Diceros bicornis minor: one gene and its partner. The protein of the gene in region 1 purifies or fractionates together with the protein of each later gene. This does not show direct contact. Links are inferred from orthologs where the notes say so. Each region holds a gene or a part of one and is shown on either strand. Other genes may lie near its edges.

What was found. The genes of interacting proteins can lie anywhere in the genome.
Region 2: the proteins of CDKN1A (region 1) and CCNE1 purify together in Homo sapiens (affinity purification with western blotting; 19 studies listed by BioGRID and IntAct, with this or other methods). This does not show direct contact. The link is inferred for Diceros bicornis minor from reciprocal best matches to the Homo sapiens genes CDKN1A and CCNE1.

Annotation. Positions count from the first base shown.
Region 1 is NC_080753.1:28,264,987-28,272,017, reverse strand, and holds the start of CDKN1A (cyclin-dependent kinase inhibitor 1), read left to right. Parts: upstream 1-4,018; 5' UTR 4,019-4,112; exon of another isoform or gene 4,113-4,178; intron 4,179-7,031. UniProt on the Homo sapiens protein: Plays an important role in controlling cell cycle progression and DNA damage-induced G2 arrest. Involved in p53/TP53 mediated inhibition of cellular proliferation in response to DNA damage.
Region 2 is NC_080773.1:3,988,239-3,995,370, forward strand, and holds the start of CCNE1 (G1/S-specific cyclin-E1), read left to right. Parts: upstream 1-4,119; 5' UTR 4,120-4,261; intron 4,262-4,714; 5' UTR 4,715-4,743; coding exon 4,744-4,766; intron 4,767-4,868; coding exon 4,869-4,956; intron 4,957-5,172; coding exon 5,173-5,241; intron 5,242-7,132. UniProt on the Homo sapiens protein: Essential for the control of the cell cycle at the G1/S (start) transition.

The sequences.
Region 1 (7,031 bases):
TATATTTTAATGCATGAATGAGTGAACAGACAAATGAATAAATAAGAGAGAGGGCTCAGATGCAGCGGCACTAAAGCCTAACCTCAGAGTGCAAGTCAAAAATGGCCCTTCCATAAATATTGATTGAACTCCGGCTGAGGCTGCTAGGCCTTGAAGGTACAAAGATGAATAAAATATGGCTTATCCCCACCAGTTCCCAGCTCAGAGGATGCCACAGGCATGTAAACCCAGCAGGCCAGCGAAGCACAGTGAGTGGATTACTCACCAGGAGCTCTGGGAGCCAGAGGGAGCCCTGAGAAGGCCTCCCCACAAGGGGTCACGTAGGTTGGGTCATGAAGGATCAATAGGAGTTCAACACGTGAAGAAAGGAGTAGAGATGAGGTAGGTTGGTAAGAAACACTGATTCCAAGAAGAGTGAACAATATGTGCAAAGGTACAGAGAGCCCTTCACTCCTCAGGTGGCCTGTGTTCACAGCATTTCCTCACCACCTTCTAGTCCCTAAATGATCTGATCAACTCATTCACTCTGTGCTGTGCCACCCAGAAGCCTCTGCAGGAGCCAGGCACTCGTTCTCCCCACTGGCTGTTGCGAGTGTTGGCACTGATGCTTCAGCTGAGCCCTTCTTTAGGAATCAGCCTCAGATAAAGGAGCTCTCTTGCCCAAGTTCATGCACCCCTCTGCTCCAGGGACAGCCACATCCAAAAGACTGGTTGAAGCAGGGGTACAAAAGCCCAACCCCCTTGCTTCCATTCAGGGAACTCCTAGCTCAAGAGCTCCCTGTGGGCTCAACAGAGGCCTCTCTGGGGCCTCCAGCCTCCATCTCGGCCCAACTCCTCTCTCTGCCCAATCCTGTTTCCTTTATGGTCCCACAGATGCTGATTGCAAATGCAGTCCCAAGAAACCTCCTTCAAGCAAGTCTCTACTGCAGAGTGTGTTTTCTGGGAAACCTACCTAAGATACCCCAAAGTATAAATGATTACTCAATTCCAAGGGATGCCTTCCCCAGGGACATTTGTAGAGCAATAATAATAACTAGTATTCATGGAGTGATTTCTATGTGCCAGGCACTATGCTAAGCACTTTGCCTACATGATCTTATCTGATGAAGCAAGAATTCATGCCAAAGGAATGAATTTCTAACGGTGAAATTTCAGGCTTAGGCAAGGTGAAATTTCTAGCTTAGGGAGGCTAGAAGTGTTTATGTGGCACAAATTCTGTTACAAATTTCTCTGCCTAACTCTGTGGTCAGTCCTGATCTTTGTACTGGCTGGGTAAAGCCTCCAGAAGGTCAGGGTGGGGGTTCCCAATCTCCTTCTTCCTCAAAAAAAAAAAAAAAAGAAGTAAGCAAGGCTTCTTCTGCTCAGTAGTATAATAATATCTCTGTTCTCCCTCTTTTCTGGGGTCTCACTTCTTAGAAGGCCTGTGTGGAGGTAAATTCCTCTGAAAGCTGGCTGCCCGTTTGGGACTCCCCGGGCCTTTTCTGAGAAATGGTGACATTGTTCCCAGAACTTCCTCTCCCTTCCTGGGTACTCCTGCAGACACCTCTGAGCCCTCCTCACATCCTCCTTCTTCAGGCTCCAGCTTTCCACCTTTCCTTTCCGTCATCACCTGCCTCCTGGGTGGGGGCTGATCTGGACCCTCTCGCCCCCAGGCTGAGCCTCGCTCCGTCCCTAAGCTGCTTGCTTCCTGGGGAGCATGCCTGGGGAGCATGCCTGGGCAGCAGGCTGTGGTCCTGACTGGCTCTCTGGCCCTCAAGAACATGTCTCAACATGCTGAGCCCTGACATAGAAGAGGCCAGTGGCTGTTTTGTCCCTGGGGCTGCCTGCTTTGGGGGGAGAGGAGGGTGGTAGCAGACAGAAGACGCCCAGAGACCCCTGTGAGAGCTTGGTCTGAATTTCTCTGAACGGAATATGTGGTTTGCAGCAGATCCCTTGAGATTGGCCTGGGACCTGTTCTGTGCACACGTGTGTGTGTGTGTGTGTGTGTGTGTGTGTGTGTGTTTGGGGAGTGTGACTTCTAACAACCTTCTCCTTTGCTCTCTTCAGAGCGGAAGTCCTCCTTAAGGGCATGCCTAGCTACACGTTCAGGTGTAGGGTTGGACACTTTCTTTTGAGTACTGAAGCACTAGACACTTAGTAGGTGCCTAATAAATATTTGTTGAATTCTGTTGTGGTGGTGGTGTTGAGCTAGAAGTTATTAAAAAAAAAAAAAACCTCACTTCCCAACAACAACAACAAAAAGAATTATTTCATTGTGAAGCTCAGGACCACAAAACTTTAAGTAATTCAATACAAGCCTTCATTAAAAAATTTTTTTCCCCAGAGTAAACAGGCAGACAATGTCAAGTCTATTTGAAATGCCTGAGAGCCAAGGGGATTTAAGGCAGGAGGAGATGCTTGTCCCCTGCTGGACATTTGACAACCTAGGCTTCGGGTGGTGTGGGTGTGTGTGTTGGGGGTGTGGAGAAAGGAGCTGGGGAGCAGGGGGCTGGTCCTGGGGTCCTGGCCTGTTTGAGGCCCTCCTGAGGTCCGGCTACAACCCTGGCCTGACTCCAATACCAGGCAGGCCAGAGGGTCAGGTGCCACGCCCTCCCGCCCCTACCCTGGCTCCATCCCAGCAGTGAAGGAGGAGGCCTGTCCTCCCTGAGGTCAGCTGCATTAGAGGAAGAAAACTGGGCATGTCCGGGCAGAGATTTCCAGACGCCGAACAGCCCTAGGTGTCAGCAACTGCAGCTGCTCCAAGCGTGGATTCTATTTTTTAGTGGGAATTCTGTTCAGATTAACACTCTGTTCTCTGCAATTTTTTTAAAAGCAGAAACTGCAAATGTTTTAGGTGAAGGAAGGAGGCAAAGGTGAGGTGCAAGCAGGGCTGGGGGGTGCGGAGGTAGGAAGGAGCAGATGGGCACCTCACCTGCTTCTGTATCGGTCAAGAGTGCCAGTGGACATTTCCAGAACTGTCCTTCCTCAATGTCACCTCAGTAAGCTGCCTGGAAATGAGGGGTGCTGGTGTCTCCCCATTCTCGTGTTTCTAGAGCCACTGAAATAGAGGGGGCAACAGGCAGAGAGCTCTGGGTGAGACGCAAAAGGCCTATGTTCCAACCACAGCCATTTATTTGCTGTGTGACCTGAGCCAGGTCAATGAACTTCTCTGAGCCTCAGTTTACCCAGCAGTGAATGTGGGCTGTGTGAGGAATATCCAGGAGACAACTCACCAAATCCTTCTGCCCTTCCTGCCATCAAATCAGCTGCAGTCACAGAGGTTTCTTCTGTTGAGGTGAGAGAGAGGTGGGTGTGGGGAGCAGGAGGGGGTGGGGAGCTTAGTTCAATGTCAGATTTCCCCTGGAGAGACGTGGGCCCTTTCTGGGAAGTGTCTCCAATTCCCTCCTTCCCCGAGGCATTTGATGAGCAACAGCTTTGCATCCCTTTAGTTCTGTGGGCCTCAGTTTCTTCGTTTGTGAAATAAAGGGGATTGAATTCCGTTCTGGCCTCCCAGAGGCTCTGTTGGGGTGTCTGGGTGCCCCAGGTGCTCGGGGAGAGGCGGTGTAGTGAGGGATCCGCGGGAACAGCGCTGGTAGAGTGGGGCTTTTCTGGGGAGTGCAAAGTGAGACGCATCATTTTTATTATTTAAGGACTTTCATTTATTAACGTCACCCCTGGTCTTTTCAGCTGCTTTCGGTAAATCCTCGCCCAGAGTCGGCCCGCAGTGGGCCAGAAAGGGGCTCATCCTAACAACGCCATCCCCTTCTGGGGAGCGCCAACTCTCTCCCCAGCTAAAAATACCCAGATTTGTGGCTCAATTCGTGGGGAAATGTGTCAAGCGCACAACCCAGGCCGGGGGTGCGGGGAAGGGAGCGCGCTCGGGCAGCACGCGACGTCGGCCTCGGAGCTCCGCGGAGCTGGAGCGCGGCCAGGCCCGGGGAGCAGCCGCGGGTCCCGGGAGGCGGTCCAGGCGCGCTGGGGGTGGAGCCAGCGGTCCCGCCTCCAGGGCCGAGCCTTTTTACATGGGCTGCGCCCGGCGGCGCCAGCGGAGGTGTGAGCAGCTGCCCCGGTCGGTAGCTCGGAGACCCGGAGCCGGGCGCGGATTCACGGAGACCCCGAGACCCTCGGAGGAGGTGAGGGAGCCACGGCGGGCAAGAGCGGACCCAGGAGGCGGCTTGAGCTGAGCTGAGCGTGTCCGTGTGTGTATCCCTGCATGTCCGTGTGTTGTGTCCGCGGGGACGTGTGTATCCGGGGGTGTGTGCTGTGTTCACAAGTGAATGACGTGAGTGGGTCTGCGCGTGGGTCTCGGCGTTGCGCACACGGGTGTCTGTAAGCGCGCGTGTGACGGGGGTCGGGATGTGTTGGGGAGGGAGCACAGTATGAAGGTCCCCTGCCACGCTGCCGTCCCCTTGAAACACAGCTGGGGCGGGGGAAGGTGTGGACCCGCCGCCCCAGGAGCTCTCCGCCCGGCGGGTGCGCCCCGGGCCCCCCGCGCGGCTCGCTCGCGGCGTAAGGATGCACCCCTGTCCGCCGAGGGGCCCGGGAGGGGCGGGGAGCGCCGACCCGAGCAGGTTCCTCTGGGATCCGCTCCCGGGCGGCTCTCGGATCTGATCGGTGCCGCCCCGGCCCGAACCCCTGAGGTCTGGGTCCTCGACGCCGCCGTGTCCGCCACCCGGTGGCGCTGAGGTCAGCGCGAGCTGTGTCCCTGGCCCATGGGAACGTGTCAGGACACGTCCCTTAAGGGCAAGCGAGAGGGTGACTCACGGTGACAAGGAGACCCCGGGGAACGGGCCGAGTGAGATCAGAACCCCGCCCGGGCTGGGGGACAGTGGCGACGCAGAAGTCTCCTTCCCTACCCCTCCTCGGTTTGTCCCCCCCATAAACACAGTGACCTATTTGGCTGGCACAGAGTGTTCCCAGGGAAGCCCAGACACCGGGAGATCCAGGACCGGGTGTCCGGTCCCCGCCCCACGGCGCACTCTCGGGGACCCGGAGCCGCGGCCCCGCGCTGAGTGGGCTGGCGCACGCGGGTCAGTTCGGGAGGCGCAGGAGTCCTCCCCACCTCGCTCCCGCCGCCTGGAGCCCCCGGCCCAGCCTGCCCTTGGGGCGCGCCGATGGGCTCGGGGCGGGAGCGGTGTTCTGCGGCGCTGCGGGCCGCGCAGCCCCCGCCGGGGTGGGGTCGCGTCTTTGAGGGGTGGGGCTTCAGGGGGCGCGACGCTGCTCAGGGCCTCTGTCGCCTGCATCCGGGGGCCCGGGCGCCCCCAACCTAGTGGAGAATTCCCTCTCCGAGGGAGACTGGACTGGGCGGAGCAGGGGGGCGAGTGGTCCTTGGGACACAGCTGCCCAGCGCGGACCACAGCGCGTCCGCCCTGTCCCGGGCCCTCGGGGGACCCTTGCGCCCTCCTCGCGCGGAAAAGAATCTTGGAACTGGGTTTGGCGCTTTAGGGCGCCCGGGCGGCTCCCTCCCTCCGTCCCTCCCTCCACGTCGCGTTTCGGGGAGGCCTTTCGAGCGGTTTTGTTTTCCTTACTCCGGTCTATTTTTATTTTCCAGGGATCTGACTCATCCCGTGCTTTGGGTGTGGAGATAAGGTGGAGTGCGTGCGGTGTGTGTGCGCGCGTGTGTGCGTGTCACAGAGACGGCGCGAGAGCGCGCGGTTTCCTAACAGTGGCGGGGGTTTCGGAAGCCTGGCTGCCTCAGCGTGACGTGTTCGCGGCCCCTGGCCCCCTCCCGCTCTCCCCCTCCCCACCCGGGGTGACGCGCAGCCGGAGTGGAAGTGCAGTTTTGGCGGGCGGGGAGCGCCTTGCAGGAAACTGACTCATCACGACTCCCGGCCCCTGTCCCGGGCTCGGCCCACACCCCTCCCACCCTGCGCGTGATTTCCTGGGGGCCAGCGCCCCCTCGCGGCCCCGGCGCGAGTAGCAAACGCGCCTTCCCGCGGAGCGCGGCTTCGCCCGCCTCTCCTTCCCGCCGCTGCCCCTGGGCTGATCCCCGCACCCCCAACGCCGCTTAAAAAGAGCACCCCATTGGTTCAACAGTGTTTACCGAGTGCTCACTATTTACTTGGGGATTAAAATATGGTTGAAGTCTAAGGCACAAAGACCTACAAAGGAAGCTATTCTCAGTTACGTGTTTGTAAAACTAAGAGTGCCCGCTGAGCTGGGAGTTATGATAATGGGCGGCAGAGCAGATTTTGATGGGGAGCCTATGAGAGCCATAAGGGAAGAGGTGGTGGCAGCAGAGAGGGCCCCTGCCTGGACTCTGGTTCCATCTTCAGCTCCTAGAAGCCAGGGAATATCCAGCTCCCGGATAAAGACCCAAGCAGGCTTCTCCTGGTACCAATGGGGCACTGAGACCCAGAGTGTCCATTTCAGCCATCCTGTGTGTCCTCTCTTGGCGGGCACCCCAAGAGTGCCCATCTGGGCAACCGCCAAACACTTGTTTAAGTCTCCTCCTATTTGAGTTAAGTTGGTCTAGGGAGGGAGGGGCCTATCAATCTATATTTTGAAAAAGCTTCCCAAGTGGTTCTGCTGGGCCTCTCTGGTTAAGAAACCTCAAAATTAGGGAGGAAGTAGGGCTCAACACCAGAGCACAGAGCCCAGGGCAAGTAGGCCTGGCTTCAAATCCTGGCCGTGCCACTTGTGAGCTGTGTGACCTTGGGCAAGTTACTTAACTTCTCTGAGCCTTGGTTACCTCTTCTGTGAAAAAGAGCTAGTATACTCACTTTTTGGGAAAATTAATATTTGTAAACTTCTTAGAACAGCCCTTGGCACATAAAAATACATAAAAGAATACCAACCCTTGCCCTGAAGAGAGTGGGCAAAGGTTATTTTAGGGCACTGCCCCCTGTACTGTGTAACCCATCTATGGAGCAGTGGCCCTCGGCCTTTTTAGCTGTGTGGTGTGGGGACAAGTCTCATATCTGTTCGAACTCCTGCCCTTTAAAGTTGGTCTAAGTTCGCCTAGTGCCTCCCCTCCCCGTCAGCTGAGATGGTGGGCTCCACTCAGTGTGAGAGGTGGAGTGGGGAGGGGTAGATGTGGCACGGGGCCAGGG
Region 2 (7,132 bases), on another chromosome or scaffold:
GCCTTCCCACCCCCGGGCTGTCACCCCCGACTCCTTGAAGTGTCTTCCAATTAGTCTCTGTTCCTGGCAACCCTGAGCTTAGCACAGAATCCATAAGTGTCAGCTGCCATCATCGCTCTATCATATACTGAGTTTAAAGGTCAATTTTAATTTTCACTGGAGTTCTTTAACTGATCACAGCCTTCGGGCTAAAGAAGTGTTGACTGGACCTGCTCCTCAGTGTAAGAGGGGTTAGGCCAGGCCTGGGACCACCATGCTTTGCCAGTCTCCCACCTCGGAGTCCATGGCACTGTGAGCTTGATCTGAAGGGTAACCAAGCCTTGGGGAGCACGGATTGGGGCCCTTGAATCCAGCCAACCTGGCAGGCCTGTGCAGACAGGTTTCCAGGGCTGTGGGAGGACAGGAGCCAAGCCTCCGGGGCCTTCCCACACTCGAGCTCCCTGGCGTGTGTCCTGCTCCTGGTGCCTGGCCGCACCCCACCGCTCACACTGGTGAGCCAGTTGGGCCCTCTTCTTCTGGTATCCCCATGTGTAGCCTTACAAGAGCCCCCTCCTTCAGCTCAGCCAGGCGGCCACACTTGGCCAGCTCACTCCAGCCATAGCCCTTGCCTTCCCTGACCAACTCTCACCACAGCAGCACTCCTTAACTTGCTGTTGGCTGCCTTTAAGGGTCCTGTAAAAGCTGTGCCCCAGCCTCCCAGAAAAGGGCACACGATGGGCCAGCTCTGTCAGCGGGCAGTTTCCTGGGCCCCTGAAGGCTGTCTGGGGGCCCAGGTTGAGGAATCCTGTCTGGGAAGGACTTCCCCCCAGCAACCCCCATGGGCTTACTTCTCCTTACCCCTAGTATCCTGGCTCCTGTCTTTACCCCTCCACCATCGTCGGGGTCAGAACCACACATGGAGCTAAGCAAATGACCCCAAATTTCTTGATAGATATCATTATTACTACATATTGAGCATTATGTCCTAAATACTATTGCAAATACATTATGGGTATTAACACATTTACTCCTCACAGCAACCCTGGAGGTTGGACTAATTAGAATCACCCCATTTTACAGATAGTTAAGGAACTCTCCCAAAGTCTCATGGTGGAGAGAAGATGCTGCCCTCCCTACACAGCAGCTGGTCTACCACCTCTAGTCCAATCCAGAGTCTCCCTCGAGGCTGAGCCAATGCCTGGGCACTCTGAGCCTGATGCAGGCACAGAATGAAATGAACCCAAACAGCCAAAGGTGAGCTGCCCCAGACGAGTGGCCATCAGTGACTCTTGAAGACTCCAAGCCTGCGTACAGGCTGTTTCCACTGCCTCTGCCAAATTCATTCATCCTTCCGGCCTCAAGCTGCTTCCTCCATATAGCTTTCTTGGCATGCAAGAGTAGGTTGGATGCCCCCTCCCCCCAACTCCACATGAAGTCATGGCCCCCAGAATTTTCCCATCCCAGCCATTATCACTCTGTACTGCAACTGCCAGTCCACACAACCTCTTCCCTTCCAGCCCAGAACCTCCCAAGTGGGCGGGGATTATGTCTTGCTTTTCCTTGTTTTCAATTATTTTTTCAAAAAATAATTCTTTCATTTTTTATTGAAGTATAAGAGCACTCAGCAAAGGGCACAAAACATAAGTGTAAAGCTCGATGAATTTTTATGTATGTACACAGCCACATAACCACCACTCGGATCAAGACATAAAACATGTGCAGTACTCAGAAGGTTCCCTGGTCCCGTCCAGTCATTACTCCCACCCCAGAGGTAACCACTGTTCTGACCGAGGCCACCCTAGTCTTGCCTTTTCTTAAACTTCAAATACCTGGAATCGCACAGTAATACTCTTTTGTGTCCGGCGTCTTGTGCCCACCGCTATGTCTGTGACATTCATTCCCGTTGCTGCAGGTTTCAGTGGTTTGTCCTTTTTCTTCTTGTGTAGTATTCCATTGAATGACCATACCAAAATTTACCTATCCATTGTACTACTGATGAACAGGTCAGGTAGCATATGGAACATCTAGAACTTTCATTCTTTGCTGGTGGGAGTATAAATTACTACAACCACTAAGGAAAACTCAGTCTTGTTTATCATTGTTCTAACAACTGTCATTTATCCAGCATTTTCCATGAGCCAGGCACTGTACCAAGTGAGTCATCTGCATTATCTCCCTCTATCCTCACAATAATCATGGGAAGGAGATAGTTGCCATCCATGAAATAGGATCATCATGATATCAACATCCTAGGATTAGTGTGAAGTTTAACCGAGATAACATTTTGAAGGATTCAGCCCAAAGCTGCCGTTTTGTAATGCTGTTTATGAGACCTGTTATTGTTATTACTAAAGGGCACAGGGCTGGGAGCTCAGGAGTCTGGGTTCCATGTGTACCTAAGCCAACCTGAGCAAGTCATCTCAGCAGCGTTGACCGCAGAGCCCCTGGAAGGTTGACAGTCCGCAAGCAGGGACCTTGTGGGGACGACACAAAGTACACTCTCCAATAAGACGCAGGCTCGAACTTTGGGAGTCATGGGGGGGTGCAAAACTCAAGACTGTACATCAGGAAGGGCCTTAGAAGTGTTTAGGAGCCCTCCAGCTGTGTGTTTCCTCTAGAAGTTGAGTACAGAAGGTACTTTCAAGTGACTATTGTTGAATACCTGTTTCTCTCACTGCCCTGCAAGCTCCACGAGGGTTTGCTCAGTGTATGTTTTTCAAGCATTCATTCACAAATCCGATTTAAGTGCCTCCCTTCCTCCAGGCACTGTGCCAAGAGCCAGGGGATATAGCAGTGAACAAGGCTGACAAGGAGGGAGAGGGACACCAGGCAAGGAAACGAAGGAGGAGCAAGAGACTATGGTGACAAGTGCTGGGAAGGAGCCCCAGCAGGGCGAGGAGGTGGAGACGAACTCTTGGGGAGGCGGCTGCTCTAGGTTAAGTGGTCCCTGGAGAACTTGACGGGAAGGAGGGGCAGCCCAAGGGGCAGAGCAGGTGACAAGCTCCAAGGCCCTGCGGTGAGAAAGGAGAGAGGGTGGGGGAGGAGCTGTGAGTGGGGGCTGAAGGGGAGATCTGAAGCGGTGAGGGCCGGTTCCCGTGCAGCCCTGTAGGCCTGGGCAGGGAGTGTGGACTGGACCCTGAGGCTGACGGGGAACGCGGAAGGGCCTCAGCGGGAGAGGCCTGCGTGGAATCCCGGCGTCGGGAAGGTCGACGTTCCGGGCAGTCTGCGCGGGGGGCACACAGAAGATGCCCGACGATTAGCTTACTGCATGCCTGCCCGCACGGACAGACGGACGGACGTGCGTTCTGGAATAACCGCTATTCCACAGAGGACCCCAGACCCGCGGCCATAGGCCCTGGTTCTACCCCGGTGACCAGCCGCTGTGACCTTGGGCGCATCCCCGCCCCGACTGAGGGCCCGGAACCCTGCATCCGGGGGCAGGCAGAACGCGCACGGTCTGGCAGTGCGCGCGGCCGACGGACAGCGGGTGCACGGGCCGTCCCCCCGCCCACGCCAGCAGGACCCCTACGGGGCGCACACCCTCGCCGACCGCCGTGTTTACATTCCACTTGTCCCGGCCACGCGGCTTTTAGACGCTCCAGCGCCGCCCGGCCCGCCCCTCGGCCGCGCGTGCCCCGTCCTCCCGCACCCGCCCCCGCCCCCGGCGCGCAGGCCCCGCCCCCGGCGCGCAGACTCTGTCACCGGGCCCGCCCCGAGGCCCCGCCCCCGGCGCCTGGCCCGCCCCTCGGCCGCGCGCGCGCCGTCCTCCCCGCGCCCGCCCCGCCCCGTCCCTCAGGCCCCGCCCCCGACGCGCAGGCCCTGTCACCAGGCTTGCCCCGAGGCCCCGCCCCCGGCGCCCGGCCCGCCCCGAAGCCGCGCGCGCCGTCGTCCCCGCGCCCGCCCCGCCCCGCCCCCCGCGGCAGGCCCCGCCCCCAGCGCGCAGGCCCTGTCACCGGGCCCGCCCGAGGCCCCGCCCCCGCAGCCCGAGCGCCCGGCTGCCCTGCGCGGCGGCGGGGCGGGCCCGAGGGCGGCGGCGGGGCGGGGCGGAGGGTGGCGGGAGGGCGCGAGGGCGGGCCGGGGGCCGGTTCCGCGCGCAGGATTTTTAAATGTCCCGCTCTCGGCCGGGCGCAGGAGCAGCCGGCTCGGCCGCCCGCGCGGTGTAGGGGGCAGGCGCGGATCCCGCCACCGCCGCGCGCTCGCCGCCGCTCCCGCCTCCGGCTTCCCGCGCCCCTGCCTGTGCGCCCGCTGGCGCGTGCCGCCTACCTGCCGCGGAGACGCTTCGGTGAGGGCCGCCGCGGTGCGGGCGGCGGGGCGGCGGCGACCCCCGGGGCGCCGGGTCGGGCCGCGCCGGGCCGGGTGGGGGCGGGGCGAGGCCGGCTCGTCGGGTCCCCGCGGGCGTCAGCGCGGGTGCCCGGCCAGGGCGGCTCTGGGTCGGGCTAGGGCGAGCTGTGGAGGGGGAGACTGAGGCAGCCCGGTCCCCGAGGGAGGCGATGGGCCGGCGGGGGTTTCGGGGGGCGTGTGGGCCCCCACCCCGGGTTCGGTCCCGGCATCGCGGGCAGCCGGCGGCGCGGCGGGTGACAGGCCACCCCGGGCTCATCGGCCATTTTCCCGACCGGCCCGGGAGGCTCCCGCCGCCGCCGCCCGCGCAGGGGGGGAGGGGTGTCCTGGGCGGGCCGGCGGGCCCCGACCCCCTCCGCCGGCCGTGCTCACCCCGCTGCCCGCTTCGTGCCCCCAGGCCTGAGGTGTGATCCCGCGCCCTGCGCCATGCCGCGGGAGAGGAGGGAGAGGTGAGCGCCGGCCGCTTCGGGAGGGGAGGGTGTGCAGCGGTGGGGGAGGGGCGGGCCGAGGGGCGGGCTCCCCCTTACCTCTGTGCCACCCTGGCTCTGCAGAGATGCCAAGGAGCGGGACAGCATGAAGGAGGAGAGCAGCGCCGATGTCTCTGTGCGCTCCAGGAAGAGGAAGGCAAATGTGGCCGTTGTGAGTACAAAGGGGACAGGTGGGGGAGAATCCCCCGTCTCACCTGGGTACCGGACTGGGCTCTGCCCACATATTTATTGCTGGGGGTTAAGGAGGGTGTGTTGGGCAGAAATGGTGCCCATAACCTAACCAGCTTTCTTTTTCTTCTCTCTCTGTGTTTCTGTCTTTGGGCTGTATGGCATGTTTCCTTGGGGGCTGGGGGTTGTTTTCTGATAGTTTTTGCAGGATCCAGATGAAGAAATTGCCAAAATTGACAGGAGGGTGAGAAGCCAGTGTGGCGGTCAGGTAGGTGCACTTGCTGGCTGGGCCTGGGTGGAGGGCCTCTCTGCTCTCTGTGGAGGTACACTTGCTCCTGCTGAAGGCTTCTTCTCTGACTACTGCCACAGCCCCTTGGGCTGAGCACCGCCTGTCAGTGGGCACCGACCTCTACCAGCCTCGGGATTCCAGCACCCCTGATATTACGAATGTGTGCTGATGTCTGGAGAAACCAGAATGGACATCAAATAACTCAGTCCTCCCCCTTTGCCCTTGAGGAAGCAGACTCGGTTAGAGGACGAAAGTAACCCAGAGTCCTGTGCCAGCCGGGGCAGAGTCCGTCGCCACCCCCAGGCTGGTGCGCTAGGAGGAGGGCGCCTGGCCCAGAGCTCTGTGGGTGACTCTGATGATGGGGGCCGTGTGTGTTCATGAGCGTCCCCTTCTCCTCCATCCACGCTTGTGTTTGTCCTGGTGCTTAAGGACCTCCCTTTACCTTCCCCCCGTTTAGGTCAGCTTTCCAACTCTTCCCTCTTTCTGGAAGTTCTTCCAGCCCATCCAGCAATTACTTGCAGTGGTCTCCCCTGTCTGGGGCTCCACCTGGCCTCAGCCAGAGTGTTAGTGGAACATTGTGTGTAATGATATGTGAGTCTCAACACATTTTTTTTATTGACTAGGCCATTTCTCTTGCTTCTCCTTCATGGAGTTCCCGCCAAATCTCCTGCGTGCTCACGATATCATTATAATATCAGAAGTTCCTAGCCGAAAAAGCTCGTATTATCTCTCTACCTCCAGAAATGGCTGGAGACTGTAGTTATGGCTCTAGTAGGGGAAGCAGCCTATCTCCCAGCTAGCTGATCAGGCCTTCTGACCCTACCACAGATAAAAGCTGAGCAGGAAGAGTATTTGAGCCGAGGGCAGAGGTCCCCACTAGGTTAGCAGTGGGCAGCGCGTCACTCTGTAGGGCAGTGAACAACAGCCATAGCAGCTGGGTCTGGGAGAGTGAAGAGCTTCAAAGCAATGGGCCACATAGTTTGCATTAACAGTTGTCACTGCACAGAAGACCCTAGTGATTAGCATTTTGGGGGAGGTTCCACTGTATATTGAACAACGGGTTGATGATTTTTTTCTTTGTTAAAAGAAGAAATACTTTACTTTAGGTAAGGAAATAAGACAGTGCAGCCCAAGTTCTTTCCTTTTTTTTTCATCCACTTAAAAAAAAAAAAACTTTAAGCCAAGCAAGTTTATTTTTGTGGGTATTATAAAATGGATCTCTACTTTGGGAAATTCAAGATTGTTTATTTTCCCAGCTGTGCTTTGAATTGAAATTTGCAACTGAGGACGAAGCAAAGCCATCCATATTGATTTCTTAGAGTTTTAGAGTTGTTTCTGTTCTCCAGGATAACCTGAGCGGTGCCCCAGGTGCCTAAGACAGGGCTGTGGCCCTATCCCAGACTGTGGAGAGGTGATAGCTGTGGCACGTGAAGAGCCGTATCGTTTCCCGCTAGAAGGCATTTTCATGGTTGTCCAGAGATTAATGACAACAGGTTTCTGCACATTTTGTAGAGTAGATAGCTTGAAAATTATCCATCTATTTATGGAGTGTCTTTGTCATTTCTCTGTGTGTACTCATGAAGCTAGAATTTTGGAGTAACAGAACATTTTTACCTATTAATTACCCAGACTTTTTCTCTGAAGTTATCATAGTTCAGCCCAGTACAACAGCTTTGAGCTACTCGTAGCTATCATACTAAACTCCATGTAACTGCTTCATCAAGACCACATGGACCCTTGGATGATTCTTACCTTAGGCCTTTCTTAATGCAAAGAATACCTTTCTATCTAAAGTCCATTTAACATATCCATTCTGTTGTTTAATTTTTTGCATGAGACCCAATTTTTTTACTGAAGTGGAATCCTGGAG